4 linked regions of the Diceros bicornis minor genome follow. The protein of the gene in region 2 purifies or fractionates together with the protein of the main gene of each other region. This does not show direct contact. Links are inferred from orthologs where the notes say so. Each region holds a gene or a part of one and is shown on either strand. Other genes may lie near its edges. The genes, in order: TRIOBP, PPP1CB, PPP1R12B and RAI14.

What was found.
Region 1: the proteins of PPP1CB (region 2) and TRIOBP purify together in Homo sapiens (affinity purification with mass spectrometry; 3 studies listed by BioGRID and IntAct, with this or other methods). This does not show direct contact. The link is inferred for Diceros bicornis minor from reciprocal best matches to the Homo sapiens genes PPP1CB and TRIOBP.
Region 3: the proteins of PPP1CB (region 2) and PPP1R12B purify together in Homo sapiens (affinity purification with mass spectrometry; 4 studies listed by BioGRID and IntAct, with this or other methods). This does not show direct contact. The link is inferred for Diceros bicornis minor from reciprocal best matches to the Homo sapiens genes PPP1CB and PPP1R12B.
Region 4: the proteins of PPP1CB (region 2) and RAI14 purify together in Homo sapiens (affinity purification with mass spectrometry; 3 studies listed by BioGRID and IntAct, with this or other methods). This does not show direct contact. The link is inferred for Diceros bicornis minor from reciprocal best matches to the Homo sapiens genes PPP1CB and RAI14.

Annotation. Positions count from the first base shown.
Region 1 is NC_080764.1:12,051,936-12,059,854, reverse strand, and holds the start of TRIOBP (TRIO and F-actin-binding protein), read left to right. Parts: upstream 1-4,909; 5' UTR 4,910-5,028; coding exon 5,029-5,142; intron 5,143-7,919.
Region 2 is NC_080751.1:54,244,964-54,252,549, forward strand, and holds the start of PPP1CB (serine/threonine-protein phosphatase PP1-beta catalytic subunit), read right to left. Parts: upstream 3,019-7,586; 5' UTR 2,928-3,018; intron 2,712-2,927; 5' UTR 2,624-2,711; coding exon 2,572-2,623; intron 1-2,571. UniProt on the Homo sapiens protein: Protein phosphatase that associates with over 200 regulatory proteins to form highly specific holoenzymes which dephosphorylate hundreds of biological targets.
Region 3 is NC_080777.1:30,433,204-30,440,312, reverse strand, and holds the start of PPP1R12B (protein phosphatase 1 regulatory subunit 12B), read right to left. Parts: upstream 3,002-7,109; 5' UTR 2,915-3,001; coding exon 2,624-2,914; intron 2,618-2,623; exon of another isoform or gene 1,987-2,617; intron 1-1,986. UniProt on the Homo sapiens protein: Regulates myosin phosphatase activity. Augments Ca(2+) sensitivity of the contractile apparatus.
Region 4 is NC_080759.1:34,338,157-34,345,218, forward strand, and holds the start of RAI14 (ankycorbin), read right to left. Parts: upstream 3,010-7,062; 5' UTR 2,810-3,009; intron 2,401-2,809; exon of another isoform or gene 2,334-2,400; intron 1-2,333. UniProt on the Homo sapiens protein: Plays a role in actin regulation at the ectoplasmic specialization, a type of cell junction specific to testis. Important for establishment of sperm polarity and normal spermatid adhesion.

The sequences.
Region 1 (7,919 bases), on a different chromosome or scaffold from region 2:
TTAGTTTCCCAGAGGAGAGGCAGGGAGACCCTCCTCTCATGCGGGCGCCCTCTCACTCTCTCACCAAGCATTGACTGAGCCCCTGCAAAGCCCCAGGCACCAGGGATACGCTGGTGAGCAAGGGTGGTCCCTGCCCTCTGGGGACTTATATTTCATGGGCCAAAGCTGTGGGGACAGAGAGAAGACTGGAGGAGAAATAATAATAGCAACATTTGTTGAGCACGCACTGTATACCAGTCACTCGTTACATGCTTTAACTCACCGAGTTCTCCCCAGTAACCCCACAAAGGAGGCAAGTCCATTAAGCCCATGTTGCAGGTGACACACTGGGGTGGGGCCCCCTTGGCCAGGACACTGTCTTGGCTGAGTTCTAACTACTCACTGCCTCCCAGTTGGAGCCGGAATTTAAGTTGTGAGTGGCCTCTGGCTGGGCACCTGCACATCCCCAGGGAAGGATCCAGAAGGTAGATGTTCTTCCCCAAGGAAACGAGCCACACCTTAGATACATACGTTAACACTGCTAGACTGGCTGAACAAACCAAAGAAATGGAGGCGGAGATCCAGGATCTTTCCTCCAGGGGGCGCACGCACGTGGTCCGTAAAGTGAACGACAGCCAGGAGCAATGGGAGCCCTGCACAGGAGCGCAGCAAAGTGAGCCCTTGCTTCAGGCTGGAGAAGCCAGGAGGGGCTTCCTGGAGGGGGTGGCGTTTAAGTCATCACTAAGGGAATGAAAATCTATCTGCAATTTACCATTTCAGAGACATTGCATAGAATGAAGATTAGTTTGGTTTGACTCACAGAGTGTTTAAAAACAATTTGACTTAGCCATATTCTAAAATGTTGAGATTTCATATAAAAGTTCATATTTCTGGCTTCTCTAGTAAAAGCAAGCCTGGCCACCTTGGATCACCACTTCACAGGGTGGCTGTGGGCTGGAGCCAGCCCTGAAGACCCCTTTAGAGACTCATGCCTTCCTGCCCTGCTCCGCTGGACCACAGCCCCTGCATCTCTGCCGTGCCTGCCCAGAGCACATGATTCTCCTGCAGGCCTGTGGGCAGGAAGGGCTGGGATGACCATTCCCACGTGACTGCAGGAAACTGAGGCTCCGAGGGGCAGAGTGAGGCTGAAACCGTCAGTAATCATTCCGCTTCCCTGATCTCTGAAGAGTGGTGTCGCAGCCACAGGGAACGGCATGAGCAGAGGTGGAGATAGGCAGGCACAGACTCTTCAGGGAGCAGAAAGGGGGATGTGAGGCTGAGACTAAATGGTGACACATGGTGACACTGCCCTGGCTGCCACCGTTACGCCCTTGGCCCTGAGCCGTCTGACCCGTCCCGCAGAACTCTGGGAGGGTGATTTTTAAACCAGGCTCTGTCCTCGAGTAACTGAGTGGCTTTGGGAAATTTGCTTGAGTCTTGAGTTTCACTTCTACAAAATGGGGATGATGATGGCTGCCCTTCCCATCACAGGGATGGTGTTGGGAGAAATACTGGGTGTATGAGGAGGGCAGCTTCACCCTCTTGGGAAAAGGAAGGACAGTTATTCTCTAGATTACTAAAGGCCCTTCCTCGGGTCTCAACCACCCTCATGGCCACTGTCCCCCCACAAGAGGGGGGCTTCCTCCAACAGTCCCCTTCACTCCTCCCGACCACCCTTGGCTCCTTGGCCCCCTCGTCCTGCCTCCTTCCAATCGTCTCTCCTTCAGGACCCTGGCTGCTGCCCACCTGCCCGCCGTCCTCCCCTGCCCTCCAGGGGCCCAGCCAGGCGGCTCCAGAGCTGGGGAGAGCGCCCAAAACGACCCATCAATCGGGCCCCTGGACTCGTCCTCCTCTCCCTCCTTGTCCCACTCCAGCCTCCCTGCTTCTGTCCCCTCAGCAGAAACGCTCTTCCCCAGGACCTGCAGGCTCACTCCCTCTTCTCCAGGTCTTGGTTCAGGTGTCGCCATCTCAGCGAGGCCTTCCCTCCACCTCATTTAAAATGTAATGCCCTCCGACCCCCTTCCCTGCTTCGTTTTTCTCTTTAGCACCTGTCACCAGCCAGCATGCTCCATATGTTGCTTATTTATCTTGTTTGGGGTCTGTTTGTCTCCACTAGAATGTAAGCCCCATGAACGCAGGAGATTCAATCTTTTGTTCACCGATGGACCCTCAGCACACACAACTGACAAAGTAAAGGCTCCGTAAATGATTAATGAATTGAATTTAATGAATTGTCAGAAGTGTCACCCTGAGTTGGTTCCAGGTTTTATTGATTGGTGGGGGCTAGAGGGTTGGGGCCATACCCTGATCTTCAAACTCAAACCAAGTACCCACCCCACCCCAGGCTCAGAGAAGTCAAGAAACTTTCTGAAGACCACACAGCCAAGAAGTGCTAGAGCCAGATATTGAACATGAGTCTCGCTACTCCCTGTTTTGTTTACAGTAATTGGGACTGAGCAGAAAGTTCATTATCCTTGTTACGAAGCTGTGTTTTCACCCGTTCCGTCCTGGGCTGGGATAATCTGTTCTGGGGCTGTCTCTCCTACTGGTCAACAGGATCCTCATCTCAGAAGCAGCCACATTTTATTCATGTTACCATCTCCCAGTGCCCAGCGCAGGCCTGACATATACCAGATACATATGAATGTCTGAGTGAATTAGTGAATGAAGATGCTCGGTAGTGGCTGGTGGAGTCAGACACACCAGGGTTTTAGTCTTGGCTCTGCCACTTGCTAGCTGTGTGACACTGGTGAGTTAATTTCTCTGATCCTCAGTTGCTCTGAAATGAGCATCTTGGTACTTAATCCTTCAGGTTACTATGTCCTCATGAATGTAAAGAATCTGGAATAGGAGCTGGCACATAGACAGTGCAGAGTAAATGTTAGCTTAAAAAGGGGGGCAGTTAAAAAAAGGGGAGAGCTGTGCATTTTGTCAGTGAGCTCCACATCAGTGGAAGTGTGCAAATGGAGGTTGAAAACCCCCGGGGGCATTTCATTTCATCCTCACAGGTAGTTACTATTACTCTCCCCATTTTACAGATAAGAATATCGAGGCACAAAGAGGTTAAGTCTCTAGCCCAAGGTCTGGACTAAAGCCAGCCTAGGGGACTGTGGCGGGAATGAACAAACGGGAAAGAGATCAGAGGGAGCCAGATCCCAGTGCCAGCCCTCTTCAGCCCCTGGGGACCCTGACCCAACTGCTCAGGCTAAACGTGCGGCAGGTCCCGCGCTCGGAGGCATCTGGGCGCCGCCCGCCTCCGCCCCGCCCCCTGGCCTCGTGTTGTCCAATCACACAGTCTTCGTGTAAATGAAGCACTGGAGCGAGCCTATGCGGGAGCGGCAGGGGCGTGGTCTTCGTCCTCCTCCCGGGCGAGGTTCTGATTCATTGTTAAAAAGGCTGTGACCCCGGCACCCCAACCCAGACCCGCTGTGCGTGGAAACCCGAGCCGAGGTTAGTACTGGATACCGGAAAGCGGGGGGACGTTAGGGAGGACTGGTGGAGGGGCGAAGGATACGGGCAGGGACTGGCTGACGCGCTCGGTGGAGAGAGGTCCAGAGGTCCATTCTCCGGGCGGGGCATGCGTGTCCGCTGGTTTTTCATCGCCATGTCCACACCTGAAGTGCATTTTAGAGAAGGATTTGCCCGTTGGGGAGGAGGAAGTGGGAGCAGTAAGGGGCACGTGGAACAGAGCCCCCTACAGCCGCCCCCGGGGAAATAAGCAGCGTTCTCCCTCCGAGGCGATGCTTCTTTATGTGGCCAGACCTGGAAAGAACCGCCCAGGCTGGGCGGAAGGGATGCGCGCCCCCTCCCCTGGAAGCAGGGAACGACGCGAGGAGATGACGGCCCAGGGGAGATCGGAGACCCCGGGGCCACTGAGGGTCCAGTAGGTGCCCCCCCGCCCCCCCCAACACACACCGTGCCCTGCCGCCTCCCCAGGTCTGATGGTGGAGGAGCCAGGAACCCTCGCCCTGCTGCCCCAGGGGAGGACTTGAGATTCTCTAGCCCTCACCCCAGACTGGCAGCAAAGGCCTGATCCCCCCGGGACTCTGTGGAAGAAACTCATCAGGTGAGGACAGGTATGCACAGGTGAGCTGGGTACACCGTAAAATGAATGTGAGTTTTGGGATGTGGATTCCTCCCACGCCCACCCACCTCCTGGGGCTCTATGTAGGTGAAGAGGGCATCCTCATGTTACTCCTCTGTCCGGGCTTTCCCCCAGGGCATGGTGTGGGAGCCCTCAGTGGTGCCCAGAATGGAGAGCTCTGTGCTCAAGTCAGACACCAGGGTTTCTCTTGGGCTCAGCTGTGCTGCAAACTTGCTGTGTGACCTTAGGTTGTTCACTTTCCTCCATGACTGTGTCCTGGACTCTGAAAATACCTAGCCAGCCTTTTGCCTCACTCCCAGTGTTTCCTGAGGGACCTGTGTGAGTTGGCAGAGTGACCCAGTGCCCCTCACCTTCACCTCTGAGAGGGTTGGGAGGCACACAGATCTGGGTGTGAATCCAGTTCAGCCATTGGGACCTTGAGCAAGTTCTGGAACTTCTGTGAGCCTTAGGTGCCTCATCTGAAATTGGCATTAATTTTATCTCCAATGCAGGAAAACTGTAAGGCAAGGGGACTCAGACTTTGGGGTGCATTGAATCACCTAGGGGGACTTTAAAATGCACACCCCCAGGCCTCACCTCTAGAGATTCTAATTGGGTGGATCTAGAGAGGGAACTGGGAATATGCATTTTATGAACAGCTCGGCTGAGTCTCATGCAGGGTCCTTGGAACACACTGTGAGAAACACTACAATGACTAGAAATCACTTGTCAAATACTTGGCAGAGGGCCTAGTGCTAAGTAGGTGCTTAATGAGTGTTTGTTGAGTGAATAAATGAACAGATGAATGAATGGATGGATAACCTTGTTTCCTTGGTCTTTGTCTAGGGGCAAGCTGGGGCTGGGGTCCAGGTTGGCTTCCAGCCAGTCACCTGGTCCTTGCCTCCCCCATTCTTCCCAGGCCCTGCCACAGATCGCAGGAGCTGCCCTGGCCTCACTCAGCCAATATGGAGGAGGTGGCTGGGAAAGCCCCCTGTGAACACTTTGAGGCCAATGTGCTTGCCCAGAGCTGCTGTCAAAACTGCTTCCACCCTGAGGAGGCCCACAGAGCAAGGCACCAGGTGGGCCGGCTTTCCTGCGTGGTCAGCATGGTTAGGGATGGGGGAGTCCATGCGGACTGGGGCCTGGCTGGGCCGCTATCTTGCACTTGAACGCAGACACTGGCCTTCCTCCTGGGCAGAGCCGCAGTTTTCCATCTGTACAATGAGGTGGTGGGACCATGTTAACGTTTCCAAGTGCCAGTCATTCTCCTGCTTTTATGATTTTGTTGTTGTAACCTCATGTGATCTATTACTTACCTTTTTGCTCTTTAAATCAGTACCCTTTTCTTATACTGAACCAAAACTTTACCGCCACAAATAGAAGACTAGGATCATGTCCTTTAGATGGAAGGTTAAAAAGAAACAACAGGGGGCCGGCCTGGTGGCTTAGTGGTTAAGTTCACGTGCTCCGCTTCAGCCACCAGGGGTTCACAGGTTCGGATTCTGGGGGCAGACCTATGCACCACATATCAGGCCATGCTGTGGCAGTGTCCCACATATAAAGTAGAGGAAGATGGGCACGGATGTTAGCCCAGGGCCAGTCTTCCTCAGCAAAAAGAGGAGGATTGGCAATGGATGTTAGCTCAGGGCTAAGCTAAAAAAAAAAAAAATCCCCCAGTACCAACTGGAGACTTTCTCCTGGAGGGTGTGGAAGGGGAGGAGATCCTCATTTTGTGATCGAGGTGGTCTTAGGCCAAGCGCCAGTACACGTAAACCCAGAGTGCCTGGTACACATGCTGTGAGAAGCACGGGACCGTGAATCTCCACGGGCCCTTCCAGCCTCGACCCCTATGGCTCCATAATTCCCAGAGGGTCCTGAGGCTCCTCCTGAGCCCAGCAGCCAGCTGCACGCAGGGCACTAGGCTCAGACAGGTGGCCATCGTAAGGGAGTCGCTGTTCAGCCTTGGAGCCAGGCAGGCGGGAGTTCCAGTCCCGGGTTTGGCACTGACGTGCTGTGTGACCTAGGGTCGTTAGACCTCGCTGGCTTCATTCTCCTAATGGGTAAAGTGGGGCAACAAGGCTTCTTCTCACTCAGGGCATCTGGCACTGCTCAGCCCAAGTCACGTGTGGCTGATTCAATACACGTTAGCTTCCTCTCCCTCCTTCCCAACCAGAAAAGTAAACGCTGGAGATGCTTTCCTACCTGTCTTGATGCCTCCAATAACAGCTCGCTTACCCTCATGCCAAGTTCAGGGCACAGCTGGCTGAAAGCCTGGAGAGGCCGTCTCCTGTGCAAATGGCCTCCTCCCAGTGGGTGGGAGATGGCAAGCGTGGAACAGCGGGAGAAACTTGGGTGCAGACAGTCTGAGTTCCTGTCTCCGTCCCACTACTTACCCGCTGTGTTCACAAATATTGAATAGGTGCTTAAAATGTGCCAGGCATTATGCTAGATGTCGGGGAAATAGTGATTAAATAGAACAGACACAGTCCCTGGTTCATGGGGCTTGTGGTCTGGCAAGACAAATGGAGACTAAGAAAGTAATCAGGCAAAGAAATATTGAATCATGGTTGTGATAAATGTTGTAAGGGAACAGCAAGCGGCACGAGGGTAAATGATAGGGCATCAGGGGACGTTTCTCCAAGGAAATGACATTTCAGCTGCTTGGTAAAGGCTGTGGGAGCATTGGCCAGGGAAGTTGGGGCAAGAAGAGGGGAAGAGAACAGTATGTGCAAAGGTCCTGAGGCAGAAAGGAGGATGGAGAGAGGCCAGCGAGAGGGAGGGGCAGAGGAACTTGGGGACAAGGATGGAGAATGGGGTGGGGGCTGGGTCTCGCTGGGCCTTGCGGCCTTGCTGAGGACTTTGGACTTTTTCCTGAGAGGCATGGGTCCCACTGAAGATTTTAAACAGGGGAGTGATGTGACCAGATTTGCATTTTCCAAAGTCACTTTGACTGCGGGCAGAGAATGGAGTGCAGGGAGGGAGAGCGAATCTGGGTGACCAGAGGAGTTTACTGACTGCAGACCTCAGCAGGGGATAGAGGCTCTCCGGTCATGAGGATCTGGTGCTGATGAAAGTCTTGCTCACGGATGAGCAGTTTCAAACATGTGCAGTCACAAAATTTGTGTGTTAAAAAAGCATCCCCAGCCTTGATGGAGCTGTGCAGATACCAGCCGGATCCCTAATGACACCTAGGCGCAAACTCATCCCTGCAGCCCTGATAAAAGTATCTCCTGGGGCTGGAGCCAGTTCTGACATCTTCAGCTACCTAGAATATGCAGAAATGGCCCCAGGCCCCAGGTCCCAGGGCAATCCTTTCCAGGAAGCTGGCTCTAGCTCCCCTAGGATCCTGGTTTCTGGATGCTTCTCTGCTCTGCTCTCAGCTGAGTCTCCCACAGGCTGGCAGGTGGTATCCCTGGAAATCACACAGCCTTGACCAGGTCATGGTCAAATTCTGGAGGGAGGGAGGAAGGCTGGGTGGGAGGGTCCTGCTGTATGTCAGGCACCCACATCCCTTTTCAATGTATTTATTCTTAAGTGTATTTAACATTCTATTGATTTAACACTAATAAAATTCTATTTAATGCTTTTATGTTATTTATTAAATTTAAGATGTACGGACCAGGCACTGTTCTAAGCCCTTTACAAATATTAACTCATTTAATTCTCCTAACACCCCTTGGAGATGGGTCCTCTTATCTTCCCAGTTTTGTAGATGAGAAAACTAGGCTCAGAGAGGGAAGCCACCGGGCTGAGGTCACTCAGCTGGGAAGTGGAGGTGCCAGGATTGGGCCTGATGTCTGTCTAAGGCCAGGGCCGGTGCTGACCCGCCAGACAGGAAATCAGAGCCGGTGATTGG
Region 2 (7,586 bases):
AAAAAAAAAAAAAATTAACTGTAGCTATTCTGCTAGGCAGCTTTACAAAATGCCACCAGTTGAATTTGAGTTAAATTTAATTAGCATGTAACATCACTGAAAATCAAGGCAGACAAAAAAATTTTTATTTGAAGACTAAAAATACTTATTAGAAAATCAAAGTCTGTTTTGGAATGGGTCTAAATTTTGAAGGGGGGAAGGAGAGGAGCCTGGAGAATTTAAGAACCCCAGAGAGGCACTGTCAAACTAAATGTACTTCCTGGGATTAAGAAGCAAGTAATGAAATTCTTTACTGATGGGAGTGTGTTGAACACATAAACAGAGAGGAGGCTAGGAAAGCCTGAAAATCACTTGTTTAGACTGGGAGCTCCTTGAGTAAAGAGATTGTGTCTTATCTTTGGATTCCTGGTGACTGGCACAAAGCAGGTCAATAAATGCTTGGTAATTTAAAAGGGGAAAATGTCTGGACTAGAATTCTCACCAAAAGAAGGAAAAAAGATTGTCCAAAACCAAACGTTCAATTTGAGTTCACAAAAAGAAATGGAATCACTCACTCAGCCTATTTTTCCTACCATATCTTTTTTCCAATAACCTTGAACAATCCACTAGTGAAGCTTCTGACATATCTATAATCACAAAAAAATACGTTTAGGGGCCAGCCCGGTGGTGCAAGTGGTTAAGTGCTCTAGCTCTGCTTCCGCAGCCCCAGGGTTCGAGGGTTCGGATCCAGGGCGCGCATGGATGCACTGCTTGTCAGGCCATGCTGTGGCGGAGCCGCAGATAAAGTAGAGGAAGATGGGCACGGATGTTAGCCCAGGAACAATCTTCCTCAGCAAAAAAGAGGAGGATCAGCATCGGATGTTAGCTCAGGGCTGATCTCCCTCACAAAGGGGAAAAAAAACAAGTACGTTTGACTTAAAAAGTTCCAGATCAACCATTTCGAAATACATAAATCTACCATTTTATTCCTATGAAGTATATAAATATGTAAGTATATGGAAAATAAAAGTGAAGAAGTTGATATAAAAACATTAAATTTTTAAAATATTTAAATTTACAAGCCAATTTTAAAATGTATAAAAATGGTGATGGGCCTAAACTTCCCCAAGAGTTAACAAGACATTAAAGTTCTTAAATAGCTATATTTTCCTCTTTCAACAAGGCACAATTACAAAATACAATTTTTGTCAAAGCAAATGTCTCACAGACCCAGCAAGATGTGCACATCTGTTAAAGTCCACAAAGTCTTAAGTAGTGAACACTGACTGCAGGCACCAGGGGGCCTCCCAGGAATAACTTGATAGTAAAGGAAAAGGTAAATAAGACTTCCCGATGAAACTTTGCTTCTCATTCAGTCTTAGACTGCTGGAAGGCTTTCACATCTGGAGCAAATAAACTGTAGTTTGTTACACAATGGGTACATACAGAACCGATGAGATATCGACATACTGGTTGAAAAAAGGAACTAGCGCCCTCCCCCCACTCCCAATCATACAATCTTCTTTGATGATTTTCCAAATGTAACTACAGACTGCTTCACTGTAGTAAACAATTACCTTCAGGTAATCTGAAAGGAAGTAATAACAGTTACTGCATATGCAATCCTTCGCTGGTTCCTGACAGAGAGGATTCTAAATGTAAAGGCTTAATTTCTTTTCTACACACTCACAAAGCAATTAGTGATGACGCAAATTTTAGGGTACGGGGATTCACTGGCAGAAGACCGCGATTAACTTTGAATAATATCCTGGCCTCTCCGAGATCTCTTCGCTTTCCCTCAATCCCCTAACCCAACATAAAACTGTTCAACAAAAACAGAAGAGCCTGTAAACTTCAAAAGCTGCGAAGACTTGTAAATACCTTTTAAACACGAGAATCTTTACAACAGATCTTTTCTAAGTTCGTGCAGAAATTAAATCCTGCTGAAACCTGTTCAATTCTCAAGCCGGAAAGCCAATCCCTTCAGCAAACGTATCTACATATTTCACAGTTCTTGCGTGCATCTTCAGCTCAACGACTTTTGTTTTACTATTTTTTTAAGCTAAACAACAAATGGGAGGTACTTAACTCCCGCTAATGTTATCCTCTCCTTAAATAGAGTTCGTCCTATAGCATCATATGAAAACGTAGAACACTAGATCAAGCAATCGTCTCAAGCAGGTTTTTATAAAATTCACTCCCGGAACAAGAATCCAAGACAGCCAAGGGCAATGCACAAAGAGAACAGAGAGAAATACACGTTCCACGCACACACAACGCACAGGAGCACGCATCCCGGCGCCCTCCTTGGGAAGGGGCTCCGAGCACCCCCCGGCTGGCGCGCCGCCGGCCCGGTCGCCGAAGGTCCGCGGGGGCACTGCCCGCCCGGCCACCTGCAGGGACAGCCCCTCTCGCCCTGCCTCCCCCCGACCGCGTTCCCGGAGGCCGCTCCCCCGACCAGCCGGCCTCTTCGCCCCCTCCTCGGAGGCCGCCTTGGGGCGGGAAAGGGGGTCCCCTCGGATGTCGGCGGCGGAGCGGGAACGAGGACCGAGGCAGGCGGCCCCCCTGCGGCCGGCCGGGCCCCGCACTCACCCTCCAGCAATCGGGTGATGAGACTGTCCACGTTCAGCTCCCCATCCGCCATCTTGTCGGCACCAGACGCTCCTTCCCGGCAGCGGGAACAAGGGCTTCTCGGCGGCGGAGGCTGCGGCGATGGCTCGGCGTTCCCTCACCTACAAGTCACGCGTCGTTTCGACCCCGGCTCCAACTCCCCCTTTGCCCCGGGGCCCTCCCCCCACCCCCTCCCCACCAAGTAGTGAGCGCGCGCACACTCGGAGGCACACTCGAGAAATAAATAAATAAACAAGCGGAGCCCCCACGAACCGGGCCGCGTCAGACCCAGCCGCCACCTCCTCCTCCTCGGCACCGCCCAACTCCGCAAAGCTCACCAGCGCCGCCGACGGCCCCACCCGCAGGGCCACTCACTCCACACCGCCCTTCCCCGCCACCGCGCCACGCAGACCTCCGCGCAGGCGCACGGCGAACTCCTCCACGGCCCTCACCCCCCCCCCGCACGCCCCGGCTTTCGCGCAACCGCACTGGACTCGGTTCGCCCGCCGCCGCCCCCTTTGCGCAGGTGCGTCGCCCTCTCTCGCCCCTTTCACTGCGCCGAATCGCCGCAGCGCGCAGGCGCCCAAGAGGCTCCCCGGGTTTGCTGCGCCGAGGAAGTTCCCATTACGCAGAGCGCGCTTAGGTTGTGCTGCTCTTCCGGGTTCCCAGCGGCCTCTGTTGGGGCGCTGTGCAGACGCAGTAGTTGTGCGTTTCCCGCCTCGCTTTACTTTTCTTGGCTTTATTCCCTGGTTTTGCAAGCAATTCCTCCTGTTTCCGTTAAACGGGAAACGCGGACTGTGTTACTCATGTTTGAAACCCGGGTTTGCGCGTTTGAAAAGCAAGAAGGGGTTCCTTTGCTGGAAACATCTGACGTTGCAAATAAGGGGTTTTATACCCTACCGTTCCACAAGGCTAGTTGTCCAAGTGTCCTTGGATGAAATAAGTTCAAGTGGGCCCTGGAAGGGTTAGCAATAGTAATATTTTACGGGGATACCACTCTCTGCCTTCTGTTTAGCGCTTTCATATATATCTTACTGATGTCATCGGGTATTCAGGTACCTTCGGGCTGGCATCATTACGTCTCCGTCTACTCTGTTAAAGAACATTTATTTATACTCTGCTTTATTTCAGAAGAAGGAGTTTAAGGTAGCTTACGTAAATAAATGCAGTAGGATAAATTAAAAATAAGTACAGAGAAAAATAGGACAAAAGAAAACAGCGTGGGAAAGGTAAGATAAAACCAGCAGTTTTGTATGTAAAATGCATCGTTTGCTAGGCATAGGCCACAGATATGATTCTAAGCGTTCTGGCAATCAAGGAAAAGATGGGTTGCAAGTGGGGTAGGTGTTCTGGCTGAGCTGGAACTGGGACGTGAAGACATCAGATTGTGGAGTTAGATGCCACTTTCCCAAGGCTCTTCCATGAGCCTCTTAAAGAGCAACATAATGCTTGGGAACACTTAAATAGGTGTCTGCTTATCCTTCAGTTTTCATGGGGCCCATGAATCCCATGAAAAAGAACTTTGAACCCTGTCCACAATTAAGGTTCGAATATATGCAGATATATTTAATGGACAAGGGACACCCAAAGGAAACTGGACTGCGCAAAGAAAATGAGCATCTGAGAGAAAATCACCACGAATGGGGCAGAGAGAGGCCAGACTCAGCAAGTTCTGGGAGTCAGCATATATTGGAGAGTGGTTCTGAGTACTGCCTGCGGATGTCCCCTTCTCCACCCCCAACCAGGTTTTCTGGTGCCTTGGAATCCTGGGAAAGAAACGGCTGTTATAAAAATGAAAGAGCTATATCACTAGGGGCCCAACCAACTTTTCTGTGGGAATCCCCCTCCAAAATTATATAAGAATTCAGATTCAGAATTCTTCAGATTTTGAAGTTTAAGAGGTGCATGTACTCTATATTACTTAACACCCCAGCAGCTTCTGGGGCAGCTCACTATAGTCTGAAACGTTAATTTTTTTAAAGAAATCATGAATATTCACATCATGTAAGATAAATAAAGACTACATTATGCCTCATATCAGTTTAGGTCAAATTTGCCATTAACGTAGCCTTTTTTTTCAGAATAAAATGTGTTGATTGAAGGAAATTTGGAAAACAAAGAAAAAAATATAAAAATCACCTGTAATTTCAGCATCCATAGATAACCACTTTCCTGTCTTATTTCTGGGGGGAAAAAAAAATATATATATATATATATCCACACACACACACACACCTATTTTATAAAATTGAGATTATGCATCACTTGCATCTTATCCTACTTTGTTCAATGAGTTTTGGTGCCACATTTACATGACACTCAGTTTTCAAATTTTCTTTGGACTTTAAAATGTGGATAGGAGGGGCCGGCCTCATGGCTTAGCAGTTAAGTGCACGTGCTCCGCTACTGGCGGCCCGGGTTCGGATCCCGGGCGCGCACCGACGCACCGCTTCTCCGGCCATGCTGAGGCCACGTCCCACATACAGCAACTAGAAGGATGTGCAACTATGACATACAACTATCTACTGGGGCTTTGGGAAAAAAAAAAAAGGAGGAAGATTGGCAATAGATGTTAGCTCAGAGCCGGTCTTCCTCAGCAAAAAAAGAGGAGGATTAGCATGGATGTTAGCTCAGGGCTGATCTTCCTCAAAAAAAAAAAAATGTGGATAGGAGATTGAGGACAGAGGAAGAAGTAAGAGGGGAGATCTGGAGGCTGGAGTTGACAGTGCTATAGACAGCAGCAGCAATAGAGGCAGTGGGAGCCACCATGAGGTTCAAGAGTAGGTGGGTACCAAGGAGAGGGAAGCCCCATTTGGCAGATGCTGACATTGAGGAGGCTCTTGGCCTGAGTATGAGCAGTGGCCTGGGGGCAGAGTGGAGGTCACCATTTGGGGAAGCTAGCACCTTGGAAGCAGAGACATAAGAAGGCTGCCAGTGGTGTAGGAGACATTGGTTGGACCAGGCACTGTGGTGGGCAGCAGCCCTGTAGAGCACCCAAGCCTGGAGACCAGCAGACTTTGGAACAGAGGAGTGGCAAGTAGTGGTTCTGATTGCATGTAGGAAACTGCCTGTCACTCTTTATGGATGTGTAGCAAGACTCAGGAAAGGAATCAGGCTAAGGGCTTGCTCCTTGTTAGACCAGGATTGTTAATCTAACAGACCAAAGGGCAAACTGTTAGCTGGGACTCCCAACCCAGTGGGGCTTTAGGTAGTGGTGTCCTGGAGCCAGCTTACACTGGCTCAGGAGAGCCAATTGTTAAACTTGCAGGAATTTTGCAAGCCAGTTGTTAAACAGAGCCATTGTTTAATAACTAAATTATATACTTTCAAATAAATTATACTAAAAACAAAGGAACAAAGGTAATGATAACTCAAAATTCATCATATCCGATTTATATTGCTACATTTTATTATTATGTATAGTCTAGAGGTTTTTTACATCTATTATATCTGTATGGTGGAAATACTACATAATGATATGCTACTATGCATCTCTTTCCAGCTCCATGTTCAGTGACGTCATATTGGCCACAGTGGGAGTAGTCACACCAAAGAAATTAGCAAATGCTATAAATCTATAGCTTTTTCCACCAGAGAGCTGGTTGTTAAACATTTACCAGCACACCACTGGGCTTAGGGAGACATTTGGGTCACAAATGTCAATATCCTTGGGTAATTCCAGAAATGTCTGTGAAGGGAAATTGGACTTCCTGATTGCAAGAGTCTTGGGGAATCATGATTTTGGGTCTTAATAAAATCATGGTCTTATTTGTACTTACTAAGAGGAAATGCCTGGGACATACCAGTGACCATTAGATAAAGGCAGACCAGTATTCAGAGGAACCCAACCATCTCTGTGCTGAGAACAGAGAGATATCTCTATGAATTGTCCTCAAAGAAGGCACTTTGGAACACAATGTACAGCAGCCTCATGATTCCTTTTAGTAAACACAGCACAGACATTCACAGGGATGTTTTACATGCCTCTCAATGTTGACCAATAGCCAATATATTGTGAAAATCAGTAGGTTTAGGTAGCAAAATGTGGAGGTTGTGATAGTGATATATAACTCTCTGCTGCCCTGACTAATCCAAGGTAGCTTGTAAATGAATGAATCGACATTCATTGGGTTGTTCTTCCATAAGTGTGATCCCTCTTAATCAAGTCTTTAATAAATCTTAAGTGGCAGTAAATTTTACTGGATATACCTTGAGATCAGCCATTCTCTATATCAAATGTCATATGCTTTTGTAGTTGGTTTAATTCGATGATATTGAGAAACCAGTCAAAGACACATGCATCAGTAGGAGGCCACCCCTCTCAATACAGAGCCAGGGCTAGGTGGTACACTCAGGCGAGGCCAAGATTTTTCCTTAAGATTTAGTTTTGGTTTCATTTCAATACATACTTGAGAGAATAATCAAGCGCCAAAGTTATCGGCTAAGTTGTAAGGCATGTCCTCAGTCATTTTAGCCCCCCAAATTAGAAAGCCAGGTAGAAGCAAATGTCTCTTCCCCTGCCCTTGGTCACTCTCCCCCCACCCCCACCCCACCCCCCATTCTGATCCCCCAGCACACACACACAAACTGTCAGTGGAGCAGTGGAGCGTTGTTTCTTAAACTAATTCTCTAGTATATCCTTCAAGATAAAAGGATTGCAAAATAAATGCCTAGTAATTGAAGGAATTAACTGGCTGTGTAGAACTGTTAACTATAAGGCAATTAAAGTTGGATGGGCAGCTACCTCAAACGATGACTATTTAATTTTTGAAGAGTTGGTCTGTGGCCCTTCTTTTTTTCTTCTAATTAGATTACAGGGCCAGCTGTCTATTTGGGTCACTCCTAGTTTGTTACAATAAAACCGTGTCATCTACATGTGTGAGATTGTTTCTCTTTCAGTGCTCTCCCATACTGCTCATTCAAACAAGATACCAGGAAATAACTATGTGTGTTGGTGAAGAAAAGTATACAAAATGTGAAGGTTTGTTTCGAATAAA
Region 3 (7,109 bases), on a different chromosome or scaffold from region 2:
GGTCTAACCTTTGAGATACTCCCTATCCCAGTCTATTTCAAGTATTATTAACAGGCCCCCTGGAGCTTGTTATCTTTGACTCAAGAACCTCGTGGCCTAAGCAAAGGCTGCCAAGAAAGAAAGGTCCCTAAGTCAAAAGTAGCATCAAGGCACCACAACCTGAAGTGCAAATCATCTACTGTGACCTTGTGGGAGGAGGAGAAAAATCGTCCCCCAATATCATCTGGGGGTTTCTTCCAACATGCCAAAATGATAACCCACAGTTGGTCAAGGGGCCATGGCCAAAACAAGAGAAAGGAAGGAATTATCCTGATAATTCATATTATGCTTACATAACAGATGGCTATTTTAACTAAATAATTCAGATAACTGTACGACTCTCCATTTCACAAAAGGACAATCAGTCATAAAGTATGTTCTTCAGCTACTGGCAGCTCCAGTCTCATGTTTTGAAAATAATCTTTTATGTACCTTAAGAGTTCTTCAGACTATGGAGAAACATATTGTAACTCTGCAGAAACTGACTTGTAAAAGAGTTCCCGAGCCAATAAAGGCCCCTTGTCTTGATTCAAACAAAGAGATGGTTTCTCAACAGAAGGTTGTTTGACCCGAAATCTTCCAGCAGCTTAATCTTTAGCTTTGTCTAGTACTGAGTATACCTATTCAGTTCAACTCACTGCCAGCCCTGTAAACAGGGAGAAATGCCTACATTGCATTTGCAGGTGTTAAAAAAAAAAGTCCAGAGCTGACATCTCCTTTCTCCTATTTCAAGAGATTACTGAATGTGAAGATCATATTAACTGAGAGAAGTTGCACTTCACAATCGGGGGTGGTAGTTAAGAGAGAAGGAAAGGCACCAAGGAGGTCAGTCTCAGGAGAAGGGATCAGAAAAGTGGTTACCTGTATGGGAAGGAGCTCTACCAAGAGTGACCTCAAAGTAGGTGCTTTTCTCAGGGTGTTATTAAAATGTGTACGGCTAGCAGAGTCACCTTAAAAAAAAAACAGGGCTACTGAGTTACACTAAAAAATCTGTGCTTTGATAGAACAGTGAGTGATTCAATAAAGGTACACATGAACTAGAAAGCTGGGTTCTAGTTCTCTACCCTTTATGAACCCATGAAATGGTTTCTTCCAGAATACAGATCTCAAACTCCTTAACATCCCAAATACATTTAAAAAATAAAAGTTCATGAGGCAGGACTGGTGGCTCAAGCAGTTAAGTACGCGCGCTCTGCTGCGGCGGCCCGGGGTTCGCCAGTTCAGATCCCAGGCGCGCACTGACGCACGGCTTGGCAAGCCATGCTGTGGCGGCGTCCCATACAAAGTGGAGGAAGATGGGCATGGAGGTTAGCCCAGGGCCAGTCTTCCTCAGCAAAAAGAGGACTGGCAGATGTTAGCACAGGGCTGATCTTCCTCACACACACACAAAAATAAATAAAAATTCACCTTGTCAGAGTTCAGAAATTTAGAATAATGAATGTAGCCCTCCTAGTATCTATCTTATTTATATTTAGCTCCTTATCAGGTAGGATATAAAGCTCTGGAATTTAAATCCGAAAAATTCATGCCTAGGGGCAACTTCTCTCCTTTCTAATCTTGTAAAAGTAACAATTTTCTGAGCTTCAGATTACTCATCTGTTAAATGAGAATAACACTACCTGCCACACCTACTTCAAAAGATCACTGCTGAGATGCATATAAAATAATTTTTAAACAGCAACAGACTATATGAATGTTGGCTAATACATTCAGGGAAGTGGTATGACACAAAACTGAATTAATATTTAGAAGTAGGTTCTCATGCCAACACATTTACTGCATGGACAGTAGAAGAAAAAGAGGGAAGATTAAGAGGGGGTGCCTGGCTCTCATCTCACGAAAATAAGTGACGAAGTTCCATTTGGGGAGGAAGGGTGGAGCCAGCTACGACAGTCAGTATATATAGAATACTGTTGTATAAGATGAAAGAAGTAAAGGTGTTATTACCAAGCACAAAACTGTCAAGTTATCCACAATCCACACACTATAGCTGTATATAGGGCATGCGATTTCTACAGAAGGCTATTCCATAATATCAAACGCAAGTGATTCGGATGGCTGGTTCTCCATAGGAAGCTCTTAGGAAGGAACACTGCGAGGAAGAAAATAAGGGGGTGTCCCAGGAGCTACAGCCTGCAGGAGACACAAACTGTTTCTGAATCACGACAAATCTGCAAAACAAGAGGTGCCGTTTCAGATCTGCTTGCCTTGACTCCACACAGGGGTTTACTCTTTCAGGGATCTAAGATACTCCATGATAGGGCCGCACAAGCAGAACACTGAACTTTCAGAAAGGCCACCGGACAGACGACACTGACCGTGCCTACGAGTGACACGGTGTCAGGCACACCGACTGGCAGAAGTGAGGATGACTTACGTGCCGGGGACACCGGGGACCCAACCACCGGTAACCATGGCAACCCAAGCAGGCGGAGGGAAATACAAACCCTGCCCGGGCAGCGGGTGATACGTCCCTCGGTGGGGACCATGAGGTCGGGAAAGCGCTGACCCGGGGGTAGCCGGCCGGAGTGACACCGCGGCCCGAGGGACCCTCCCCGGCGGCCGGACCGCGGGACCGGGTTACCTGGTGCAGGGCAGTCAGGCCGTCCACGTTGACCGTATTCACGTCCGCGCCCCGCGCCAGGAGCCTCCTCACCTCGTCCGTGTCCCCGCTGGAGCACGCGGCCAGGAACACGGCCCCGTCCTCGAAACGCACCCGCGGGCTCCCGCGCCGCGAGGCCGGCCGCCGCCCGGCGCCCCGGGGCTCGGCGGGCTCCTGCTCCGTGGGCGAGCCCCGCCAGCGCCGCAGCTGCTCGGCCCGCCGCGCCCGCGCCGACTCGGCCCGCTTCCCGCCCAGGTGCTCCAGCTCCGCCATGGCTCCGGCCCGCCGCCGCCCTCCCGCCCCACGCCGCGGGGGCGGCTCCAGTCGCCGTGTTGTCCCTCGGAGAGCCTCAGCCGGGAGCAGAAGCCGGAAACGCAAGCGCCGCCATCTTTACTTCTCCCGCGCGGCCCCGCCCGCGCGCTTCGGCGTTCACACGCATGCGCGGCCGCGCATGGGACCTCACGGGACTCGTAGTGAGAGCCTCCGCGGCCTTCGGGACTACGAGTCCCGGGATGCAGCGGGGCGGGGGCGAGCCGGCCAGTCTCCCGGACCAGGGCCAGCCTCCCTGGACGGTTAGGAGTCGTCGTTTATTCTTGTTGACACCCACTCATCTTGGCTCCCTAATGGTCACATCGGTCCTTTGAAGTGGAAAAGGAGCAGTAATTATCCCTATTTTCATAAAGTACCTGAAAGACTCAAATCCATGTCCTGGTTTTAAATCTACAGTTTTATTCACATCATCACATGTAATCTATTAACGTGTATTGTTAAAGTAAACGTAAATGTGCGTGATGAGGAGGAGCATGCACACACACACAGTGTTACATATACTACATAAATTCGTTCAACGTGACACTTATAGTCAAGGCCCCGAAAACATCCTGCAAAGGATGCGTCCAGGTATAGTGGAAAGAGCATAAACTTTGAATTCAAATTGAATTCACATCCCTAGACAAGTGACTTGACTTCTCCGAACCTGTTTCCTTATTTATAAAATGGGAATAATAATACCTCACAGGGTAGTCGTGTGGATCAAATAAGATAACACTGTATACGCGAAGATACCTAGTACTATCCCAGCATATATCAGCTCACAATAAATATTAATTTCCTTTCATCCTCCCTCCTCCTCCTCTACCCTTTCCATGGATCTTCAATTCTTAGGAGACAGAATGGATGTCTTGCCATCCATGATTTTTTTTTCCCCAAAGCTACAAAAAGATACCACGCAGCATCCTAAACTCCTAAGGCAGCAAGTAGGACATTTTCATATGCACCATGAACTTGGTTATAAAACCTGTCAGATCGATTTAATAACTATACGCCCAAGGGCCTTAGCCCTGGACAAAATATAATTGTGTTATCTATAATGAAAGAGAACATGTACAATTATTAGGTTCTTTAAATTTTTCTGCATGTTTGACATTTTTCATTAAAAAATATTGCAAAAATGATTAGGTCACTGTAAAGAGAAACTTTATTATATTCTATCATGTGAACATTTGCCTGTGCTTCAATTTCCCGAGATGAACTGAGAACCAAATGAAAAGCGACATATAAATGCAAAATATTATGTTTAATAATATTGTGCCTATCCACAATATGCTTAATTAGGTATTCTTAAATACTTTATAAATACTAATTAAGTCTTACAGCATCTTTATGAACTGTGAATAACAATGTGCATAAAAATAATCAAGGTGTAATAATGTATACTTTATATAGCCTTGTTTTCCTTGTGACGTCCACTAATTTAGAGTCACCAAGAACTTATCATGCCTCATCATTTATTGCAATTAAAAATTCTGTATGCGTTTTACTTTAGAACTTGTTGACATGGAACCCCTTCTTATTCCAACCCAGCCTCTTGCTGATAATGCAAATTGCCCACAAACTCTAAAACAGAACTCTCCCTACAGGATAAAAGAAACATTGATATTAAATCAAATAGGAAACAATACCCAGCTAGAAGCCTAACTCTCTTCAAGAGACATTATAAGCTTAACTCTGCCAATCTGGCAAGGAAGCCAAAAAGTGAGAGGGGGCAAGGTTTCAGAATAAAGCATATTGCTGAAATCTCAGGAAGCACATCTCTGACAGACAGCAAGCCATGTGCACCATTTTAATATTGTGCTCCTGGTACACAACAGCTGCTCAAAAAAAGTATGTATCATTCAACTGTATATTTTACTGACATACTGGTTTTCTAATAAGGATTTTTAAACTGGAGTAAAATTTTCAGGAATCAACAATGTTACATTTCTTTTGGCTGTATTCTTTTTGCATTCAGAATCAGGAAGGAAGAACTATCTGGTTCCAGGAGTATAAATAAGCTAAAATTGACTAAGTCCAAGTTAAATCCTTACTTTCCCAAGAGGTGTGAACTTAAATTTCAACAGGAAGAAATTCAGTTTCAGGAAGAACTTCCTTACTAAATTTATTTTAGTTGCTTTTTTTCCTGAGGTAGTTAAGAGTGTAATACCCTCTTTGTAGATTTTAAAGTAAAATATAAGTAGTTAAGATCCTTGGATAATTTAAGTGCATGCCTACCTGGAAGAAGAGAAATATATCTTTCAGCTCTGTGATTACAGAAAGCAGTAATTAATTATTATAATCTAATTAATTTAACCAGCTTAGACAAAAAAAATTTATGCCAAAAAAATACAACAAAATTAATCTACATATAATGGCTTGAAGTTTTTCAAAATTAAAATCACGTAAGTTTTTCCTGACACATCTTCCCCCAATCAGGGCTCTCTGAGAATAAACTTATACAATCAACTTATTAAACAAACATGATAGTTTAGATTTCCTAAACAAATACTCTAAAGAAAATGTATTTTGTATCCAAGTGAGTAAATCCTGACAAATAATCCTGTGCATAAATAAGACACAATTTTTGTTCTTTTAAATGTACTAAGTGAGCTGGCTATGATGCATATAAATTTTGGTATAAACTGAAGAACTTTTATTAAATAACAATTCTCCACACATGCTCTTAAAAAAATAAATTACAATATTAGAATACTCCATTTTTAAAAGCAATGACACCTGTACACAGTTTATGGAAAGCGTTCGGCCTGGCCTCTATTTCCACCAGTTAATATACCTCCCTCTGGTGGACAAATGGAAACTGTATATTTAGCCCATAAAGTACTTTTTATTTTTTCTTTTATCTAATCCTTTCATTTTGGTTGTCAAAACTACAGGTATTTGCTTGTTTTACAGGCCATCTCTCATTTCCACCAGACTCAATACAGTTCCTGCTTTTTCTAAGACACATTTCTAAGACTCTTCTCAGAGATCCACCCAAGAAAGTAATCAATTTCAGTTCTGAAGACAGAACTGTAATTGAGACACAACTGAGATAGGAAGAAAATAAAAGAAGACATTGAAGGGATTAAATCAGAAAGTATCAGCAGTGAAATAAGCAGCCAACTCCAGAATTATGACAGGAAACACTTCACTACAATGAGTAAATGCTGACCATAAATCAAAACCTCAACAGCTAACTGGAAACTGGGCTGGACAGTAACAGGATTCCTTACGCTTGTAATTCATAAGCTACTTGAGTTGGTTCATTCCTACTACCAATGTGAGGATCCCCAGGGTAGAATCATGGACAGAGTCCTGGTGCATGTGTGGGTCTCTGGAGGAGAGAACACACCTTGCAGTGGTCACGGGAAACCAGTTGCTACTCAACACCAATTTGGACTAAATGCAGAAATCACTGCAGTAGTTAAAATTATACTGGTTAGCACGTTTAGGAAAACTGGCCATTACTCCTATGCCAGCGCTGTTCCAAAGCCACACAATGAGCCGAAAGCAGTGAGATGAGGGCTTGCTGTGGTTTTTTCCACCCACAGCATTCAAAGTTAGTGAAGGCTAGTCAAGTTCCTGCCATGTCCTCTAGATTCAAGTCAGGTCATGCAGCATTCGCCTCTGGCAGAGGAACCTTCGAGAAGTCAAGGCTGGCTCAGCTATGACCAGGTACTTTCTTGGTCAGGTAGGACCACACTTTTAGAGTTAGAAAAGGCTTAAAAGTCATCTCTTCCAAACGCCACCCAATGCAAGCATCCCTTCTGCGCCATCCCTAACCAACTCCCAGTGAGGAAAGACTTCACTATCTCCCAGGTTTACCTGTTCTGTTCTTCAGATTTGTAATCGCTAGAATGCTTTATTGAGCTAAATTTTGTATCGCTTTAATATTCACCCCTTGGTCTTAGACGTGTCCTCTGAAGCAGTAAAATCTTCCAGATGAAAAATACTTAAACGAAGATAAGTACCACGTACGCCCTTCCTCAGATCAAGTATTTCCGTTTCATTTCACTATTCCTTCTTTGAGGTGATTTCCAGCTCCTTCTCTGCTCTGACAAGCACAGCCGACCGCGTAACCGAAACGTGGAGCAGTACTGGCCACCCAAAGCGGTGCAGCCGGGCAGCACCGGGAGGTGTCTCTGTGCGGCAA
Region 4 (7,062 bases), on a different chromosome or scaffold from region 2:
CTACATGTACCTCAAAAACATAGTGACAAATTTAAAAATCCAAGTCGTATGTATATAGAATTACGCCATTTACGTAAAAGGTTAAACACACAAGCTTACAGATATTGTCTGTAGACACATAATATACAGAAGTACCAAAACATGTTTGGAAACTTTGCCGACTAACTTCACATTAGTGGTTCCCTGAGGATGGAGGCAGAGGAGGAGGGATGGATAAAATATTTCCATAGCAGTTTATTTTTATCAAGAGGGTAAGCAAATATGAAAAGATTAGCAACTCTTAAACATAGGTAGTGGAAAAATGGGAGACTTACTATATTCTCTTTTTATGTATGTTTGAAATATTTCACATTTTTACTTTAAAAGAAACAAAGGGAGACAGACAAAACTCCTCCACCACATTCTAATAACTCCAAAGCACAGTTGCCCTTAACCTCCAAACCTCAGTATCTTCACCTTTGAAACGGGGGTGATACTAGGTGTACCTGCCTCAAAGACGCTTCGGGAAGTGGCAGTCTGGAGAAATTCATTGTCAGCTACACTACCAGTGGGCAGGGACATTATATCATTCCCCCATTGAATCTCCAGGGCCCAGCAGCCATTCTTTTTATTCAATTTCACTGATAATAGTACTGAGATTTTTCAATAGGGTTATATCGGCCACCACCCCAAAAAAGCCATAAAACAAATCGAAGGAGTATAAATGATACAATAAATTAATTAAGCATCTCAATGAATGGAGATGAAAGACCCCCAACAGCCCAACATGGGACTACCTCTCCCAATTCATGTTAGGCAAGCACTGGTTAAAAATTATAAGAACTGCATAAATTTCCTCCCATAAAATCTGTCTTACAAGCCCAAGAGGAAAAAAAAAAAAGAGACTGGTTAGGCACCATTAAGAAAAGATGATCAGATTACATCTATCAGTAGTAAAACTCCCAGCCACACCTGGGAACAGGGCCCTGCAAGCTGGGGACAGAGCAATGAAAATCCAACCTCCCTATGATGCAGTCTCTCTTCTCCAACTTTGTTCGAACCTCAAGGAGGTGCGACTCTCGTCTCTAGAAAACCAGTTCCTCCCTCTGCCGGGCCCTTTCAGTCTTGAGATCACATTCCCCAGAGAACTGGCTGTTTCCCCATCCCAGAGCCCTTGCTATCGTCCTCTCCCGTCAGGAAAACGAAGACCTATCCAAATCACCTGTGAGCCTGCGGCCAAAGGAAGCCGCCTCTGGTCCAGGCGAGCAGCGTTGAGTCAGCAGATTTGCCCCAATGTTTGCAAATAAAAGTTGCGCCGGGCTGGGCTTCTCGGAGAAGAGGCTGAAGCTTGGATATATTGCCCAGGCCCAGGCCCTAGGAAGTCACCTGGAACTCCTCCACTTTACACTAGGCTCCATCTGCCCGGTCTGCTGCCTCTCCAGGCTCTGAGGCCCCCTTCACAAAAGAGGGGTGCGAAGTCCAAACGAGAGCGTGAGCCAAGGGTTAGCAGATGAAGCCCGCAAACTGCAGAAACTAAACCGCAGACACAAACCTGCCTAAGCCCGCAGCGGAGGAAACGTAGATTAGGGAGGGTACCCACCCTCCTGGGCAGAGGTTGGGGTAAATGGCGGGCGGGAGGGCGCCTCTCCTGCGGCTCCACATCCTCCCTCCTCCCTCAGTCGCGTCTGCCCCAACTCCAGCATCCCTCCTCCCGGCCCTCCTCGGAGCTACGGCGGAGAAGAGGACAAGAAGGGCGGGGAGGCGCCTTGGGCAAGGCGAAGGGCTCCTGGAGTCAGAAAAGGAACAATAGCCGACCCTCGGTTGCCCGAGCCTTCTCGAGTCTCCCGCTCGCGCCTTCCTCCCCAGCTCCCCTAAGTTCAGCGCGGAGGCGGGTCGAGCCCAGATGCGGGGACCTGGGGGAGCGGGGCGCCGGGAGGGCCAAGCAGGTGGGACAGGGTGCTGACTCGGCACACCCAGAACGCCCTGCCGGGGTCTGGTCATTCATTCCCACCTGCGCTCCCTCCGCAGCAACCCCGCGCCCTGCCCCAGCCGGCCTGCGAGTCGCGGGGGACCGAGAGGAAGCCCCTCTCCTAACTTGGCCAGGTCCTCCCTCTCTAGTCTGATCCCCACCATCCTCCTCTTCCTCTGTCCCCAAATCTGCCCTCTGCAGACAGTTGGAGGACAAGGGAGCGGTGGCGGGACGCTCGCTGCCACCCCTGCTAAGCTGCTCCGCCGGGCGCGCGGTCCCCGGCTCCTCGCTGCCTCCCTCGCCCGAGCCCCAGACACAAAGGCGGGGACGGGAGCCGGGGACCCCGCTCCGGGGAGCCTCCCAACTCTCGGCGCCGCGCACTCACCCCATCGAGGCGGCGGCGGCGGCTGCCCGGGCCCCGCTGGCTGCGCCACCCCGCCCGCCGCTTCCCCAGGAAAACGCGGCCGCCGGGCTCGCTTCCTGCTCGGCTTCCTGCGCCTCGGTCCCTCCTCCTCCCCCGCTGCGGGGGTCAGTGGGCGCCGCGGCTCCCGGGCAGGGCCGGCGGGGCGGGGGCAGCGGCAGCACCACCACGTGGCCGCCCGACGCCGGCCCCCGCCGACCCGGATCCCGCGGGAGCGGGAAGGGAGGTGCTAACCATTCCCCTCCCCTCCACCCCGCGCGGGCCCAAATTCCGCGGGTCAGGTGACCCGGCCCCGCGCTCCGGCCCGGACCTGCGGGAGGTGCTCCCGGCCCGTGAGGCACCCATCCCCTGGGCCCGCGCGCCCTGGGCGTCCGTGGCTTGCTTTTAGTTTTCCACGGATCGTGGGACCCTTCCCCACGGATCTGTTTCATCACCATCACCTGAAGTTCGTGGAAACCACCGGTACTCTGATCCCCGGGGTTAGGTCGCGTGAGATCCCGAATAGCATTCCTTTCTGGTCAACTTCCAAAGTGGTTTGTGGTCGTGTGGGTGTTTTAAAAGTCACTGATCCTAAGCGCTTTCTAACCAGAATCAAATCGGTTATATTTTCCAGAATTATTGAACAGAAAGTAAACGAGAATGTGCTCGTAGACTCTGGACTGAACCAACTGGTTGGAGTGACTGTTGCCTGACACTCATCAGGTGGCAGGAGAAAATCAGCAGCGTTAAGTGTCTAACTCTGCTCAGGAGTCAGGAGAAATCTACAGCCTGAACTGGCAGACAGGAATGGGGAACGCCCTCAAAGCAGTGTCTGGGCTGCAAAGGGGGACGGCCTCGCTCCCCAGGACCCCACGGCTTCCCTCCCTTCCCCAGACCGCTAAGACCTGCGTTTGAATCATAATGGACTCCTCCTTTAATTCCGAGGATTTCAAAGCTCTCCACCTACTCATTTAATTTGGGACGGGTTTTCCATTCATTCTAGTCATGCTAACCAGCTATGGCTTAGAAAGTCTTTTATTCACCAAAGCTCCTCCGTTCTCCGTTCTCCGGGTTAGCTCTGCATTCTTTGTGCAGGGCAGAAAGGTTCCTAGAATAAATTAGCAGTATGAGTCCCCAAAAGGGACTTAGAGAGCGATCCACTCTAAATCAATTGAGCTTAAAAAAAAAAAAAAGCCAATTCCAACCAGTGAAATTTGCCTAATAGAGTTCAATTTATGTCTTAGCCAGATCTTTTTTTTTTTTCCTGAGGAAGAGTAGCCCTGAACTAACATCTGTTGCCAATCTTCCTCCTTTTTTGCTTGAGGAAGATTAGCCCTGGCTAACATCTGTGCCAGTCTTCCTCCACTTTATATGTGGGTCAAGGCCACAGCGTGACTTGATGAGTGGTGTAGGTCCGCATCCAGGATCCAAACCGTGAACTGAGGCCTCTGAAGCAGAAGACGCTGAGCTTAACCACTACCCCTCCAGGCGCGCCTCATAACGTCTTGGCCAGATCTTTACGTCTACGTGTCAGACTTGATCTGTATCCCTACCCTCTCTACCCCCAAGCCAAGGGTACAGTCTTGTCTGAGCTTTAACAGATGCCATCAAACAGGGAGCAAAAGCTAGGAACCCAGCTGCGTGTACCTTCACCTGCTAAGTCTTACATCAGACATTCCTTAGAGAAGTGGTGAATAGCCAGTGTAAAGCAAGATGTGTGCACTCCTCTTCCTGTCCGTTATCCCCCTCAAATAAAATCACGCTCCAGAAGAAATGCGAACTGGCAAACTTCTTTTTGGTTGAATGCTGGCAATTTCTACAATGCAGTTTTTCATTGTGGTCCTATTAATGGTGTACTGTAGGTTATTTAGGGTGGATGATACTGCCGCTTGTGAGTTTTCTGTTCTGCTTTTGGCAGGTCAACCTCCTTCAAGGAGGGGCGACTGGAAAGGTGAGGTTTTGCCTTGGAAAATTAACATGTGCAGATTCGGTTGCTGAAGGAGTTAAAATATCACATTAAACAGTCATTGTGTAAGGCAGGGTCATCAGCCTTTTATTCACAGAAGCCCTGTCTCTCTCTTCTTTTTTTTCTCTTTTACTCTGCAAGGCCCGGTCCCAGCCACCTGCCAATGAGCCTACCTGCCTATGTCAGCCCTGTGGCTCCTGTAGGTGGCTTGTATGCTCTTTCTCCTTAGTTTATAATCTCACCTTCTAACATCAGTAAGTCCAACTCCTGGTGAAGGACTGTAGTGGAGGGAAGAACTCTTATAGTTAGTCCCATGTGCCAAGATCCTTTTCCAGATCCCTCCTCCCCTGAAACTCAAACCACTCGCTTCAGACCATAGCTGAAGTTCTGCCACCTGCGGGAGGATTGGTGGTCAAGTATGGGATTGAACAGCGTCTTCTCATCGGTTTTTGTGGTTTTTTTTGCCCAGGCCTTTTAGAAATGCTAGTTGGGTTCATGATACATTGAACACCACCCTTCAGAGGAGATCAGGCCCAGGTGAAAGTGTTTGAGAGAAGGAAGCAAGGATACAATGACCGTCTAGCCTGCGTAAAGTTGGTAAAACCTTTTTGGGAGGAACAGCACGTTGTATTTCAATAGGGGAATTACCCCAAAATCAAGGTAACTGTTGTGTGATATGTAGTACTAGGAGTAATAAAAGCAAGGGGACCAGGTTTCCGGACCCCATCGGAACTTCACCAAGTGTTTGAACCTCTCCTGGTCCCACTTTCCTAATCAGTAAAAGACAAGATGGCCTCTGAGAACTTTGTCAGCTCTGACATCCTAAGCCCATTCTCTTAGTGTGAGAGAATCAGTTTGAAGAGACTTGACAAGCAATTTTGTCCTTACATTTTATGGCAAAGCATCAGTCTTTAATTGTTCTAGCAGGTGAGTCTTGTCATACTATCAAGATTGTAAACTCCTAAGAGTGTTGCCATCCAGGACTTAACGGGATCCATAAATGGAATTTATTGATTGGTAGGGCTCAATTTTCATTTTTGAAATTAAATAATATCACATCCCTTCATTCTTGCCCCATCTCTCACCAATATCAGTTCTCCCCACATTAGGAACTTCTTAAGTCTGGAGAACCAAAGCTAAGACTTGTTGGGGTAAGAAGAAACTGTCCCTGAAGGAGGAAATAGAGATCAGTATCAGGGAGCCAAAAAGTAACCCTCCACTTTGTTTGGTGTTTGGTCAGGATCTGGCTGCACTTCTGGGTCTGGTTAGAGGCAGTGTGATTTAGAGGAATGTGGCGATATTGGAACCAGTCCAGAGAATGGGACAAAAACAATCAGAAGGTTACAGGGAGATAATCTATGGAAAAAAGCCCAAATATTCATAGAAAAACCACTTTCTGTATTTTCTTGGGGATGTTTCCAAATAGGAAGAAACTGTGACATGGGAGAAATTAATAAAATAACTTTAGCATTGTTTTTCTCAATTGAGTAAGACCACAGTAATAAAGTAGCCTGCAAACATTGATTGGCGCATGGTTGTTGAACTTGCCAGGAAGCCAGCAGAGATTTCTCCTAGGGTGGGTTACTACACTTTCCTTCTCAGTGACCTTGGGCCCCTGCTCTGGAGGTGAGGCTAAGATGCTTGGTAATAATACATTCCAAAGCCCTGCATCAGATCCCTGCTTGTAGGGGTGTGGCAGAGAAGCTAAGTGTCTCAGCCTTGACGTTACAGACCTGAGAAAGTCTGAAGACTGGCCCATGATCTCATATGAGGAATGTGAAGTCTGCAGAACTGTGCTGTCCACTGTGGTAGCCACTAGCCATGCCTGAGCACTTGAAATATCACTAGTCCAAATTGAGATGTGCTATAAATGTGAAATATACACCAGATTTCAAAGACTTAGGTTGGAAAAAAAAAAACAATGAAAAGTATCTCACTAATAATTTTTATATTGATTACATATCAAAATGTTAATATTTTAGATATATTAGGTTAAATGTATATATTAACTATAATTTCACTTATTTTTACTTTTTAAAATGTGGTTAACTAGAAAATTATGACTATGGGGCTTGCATTATGTTTCTATTGGATAGCACTGCTATAGGGGTTAATATAAGCAACTAACACATATTTTGCATCTTCTCTATACCGGGCATTTTTCTAAGTGATATATACATTAACTACAGTGGCCATATACTTAATTATCCAATCTGGGACAACTTTGACACTTTTGAGAGTGAAATGGGGCCGGCAAATTCTAAACCAGACAGGATACTAGGACAAAAGGCGTAAACTGGAACTGTCCTGAGTAAACTGATATTCAGGCCACCCTAATGTTAGGTCATTTAATCCTTACATCAACCCTGTAAGTACCATTATTATCTCCTTTGGGATCATGAGCGAACTGGAGCCCAGAGAGATTAAGTAACCTGCCTAAAGTCACACAGCTAGGAAGTGGCAATGTTGAGATTCAAACTAGGGCAGTGTGGCTCTAGAGCCTTCGCTCTTAACTGCTGTGCAACACTGTCTGCTTAAAAGCTCATATGGATTGAGAATTTAATAGATGCAAGGTTTTTCTTAATCTTCACAGCAACTTGGATGGAGTATTATCCTGTTTTTACAGATGCGGAAACTGAGTTTCAAATAGATCCACCAACTTGCCCAAATCACAGAGCCAGAAAGAGTGGAGCCAAGAATCAAGGCTTAGGATGCCCGACTCCAGAGTGGTCCTGTTAACTTCCCTAT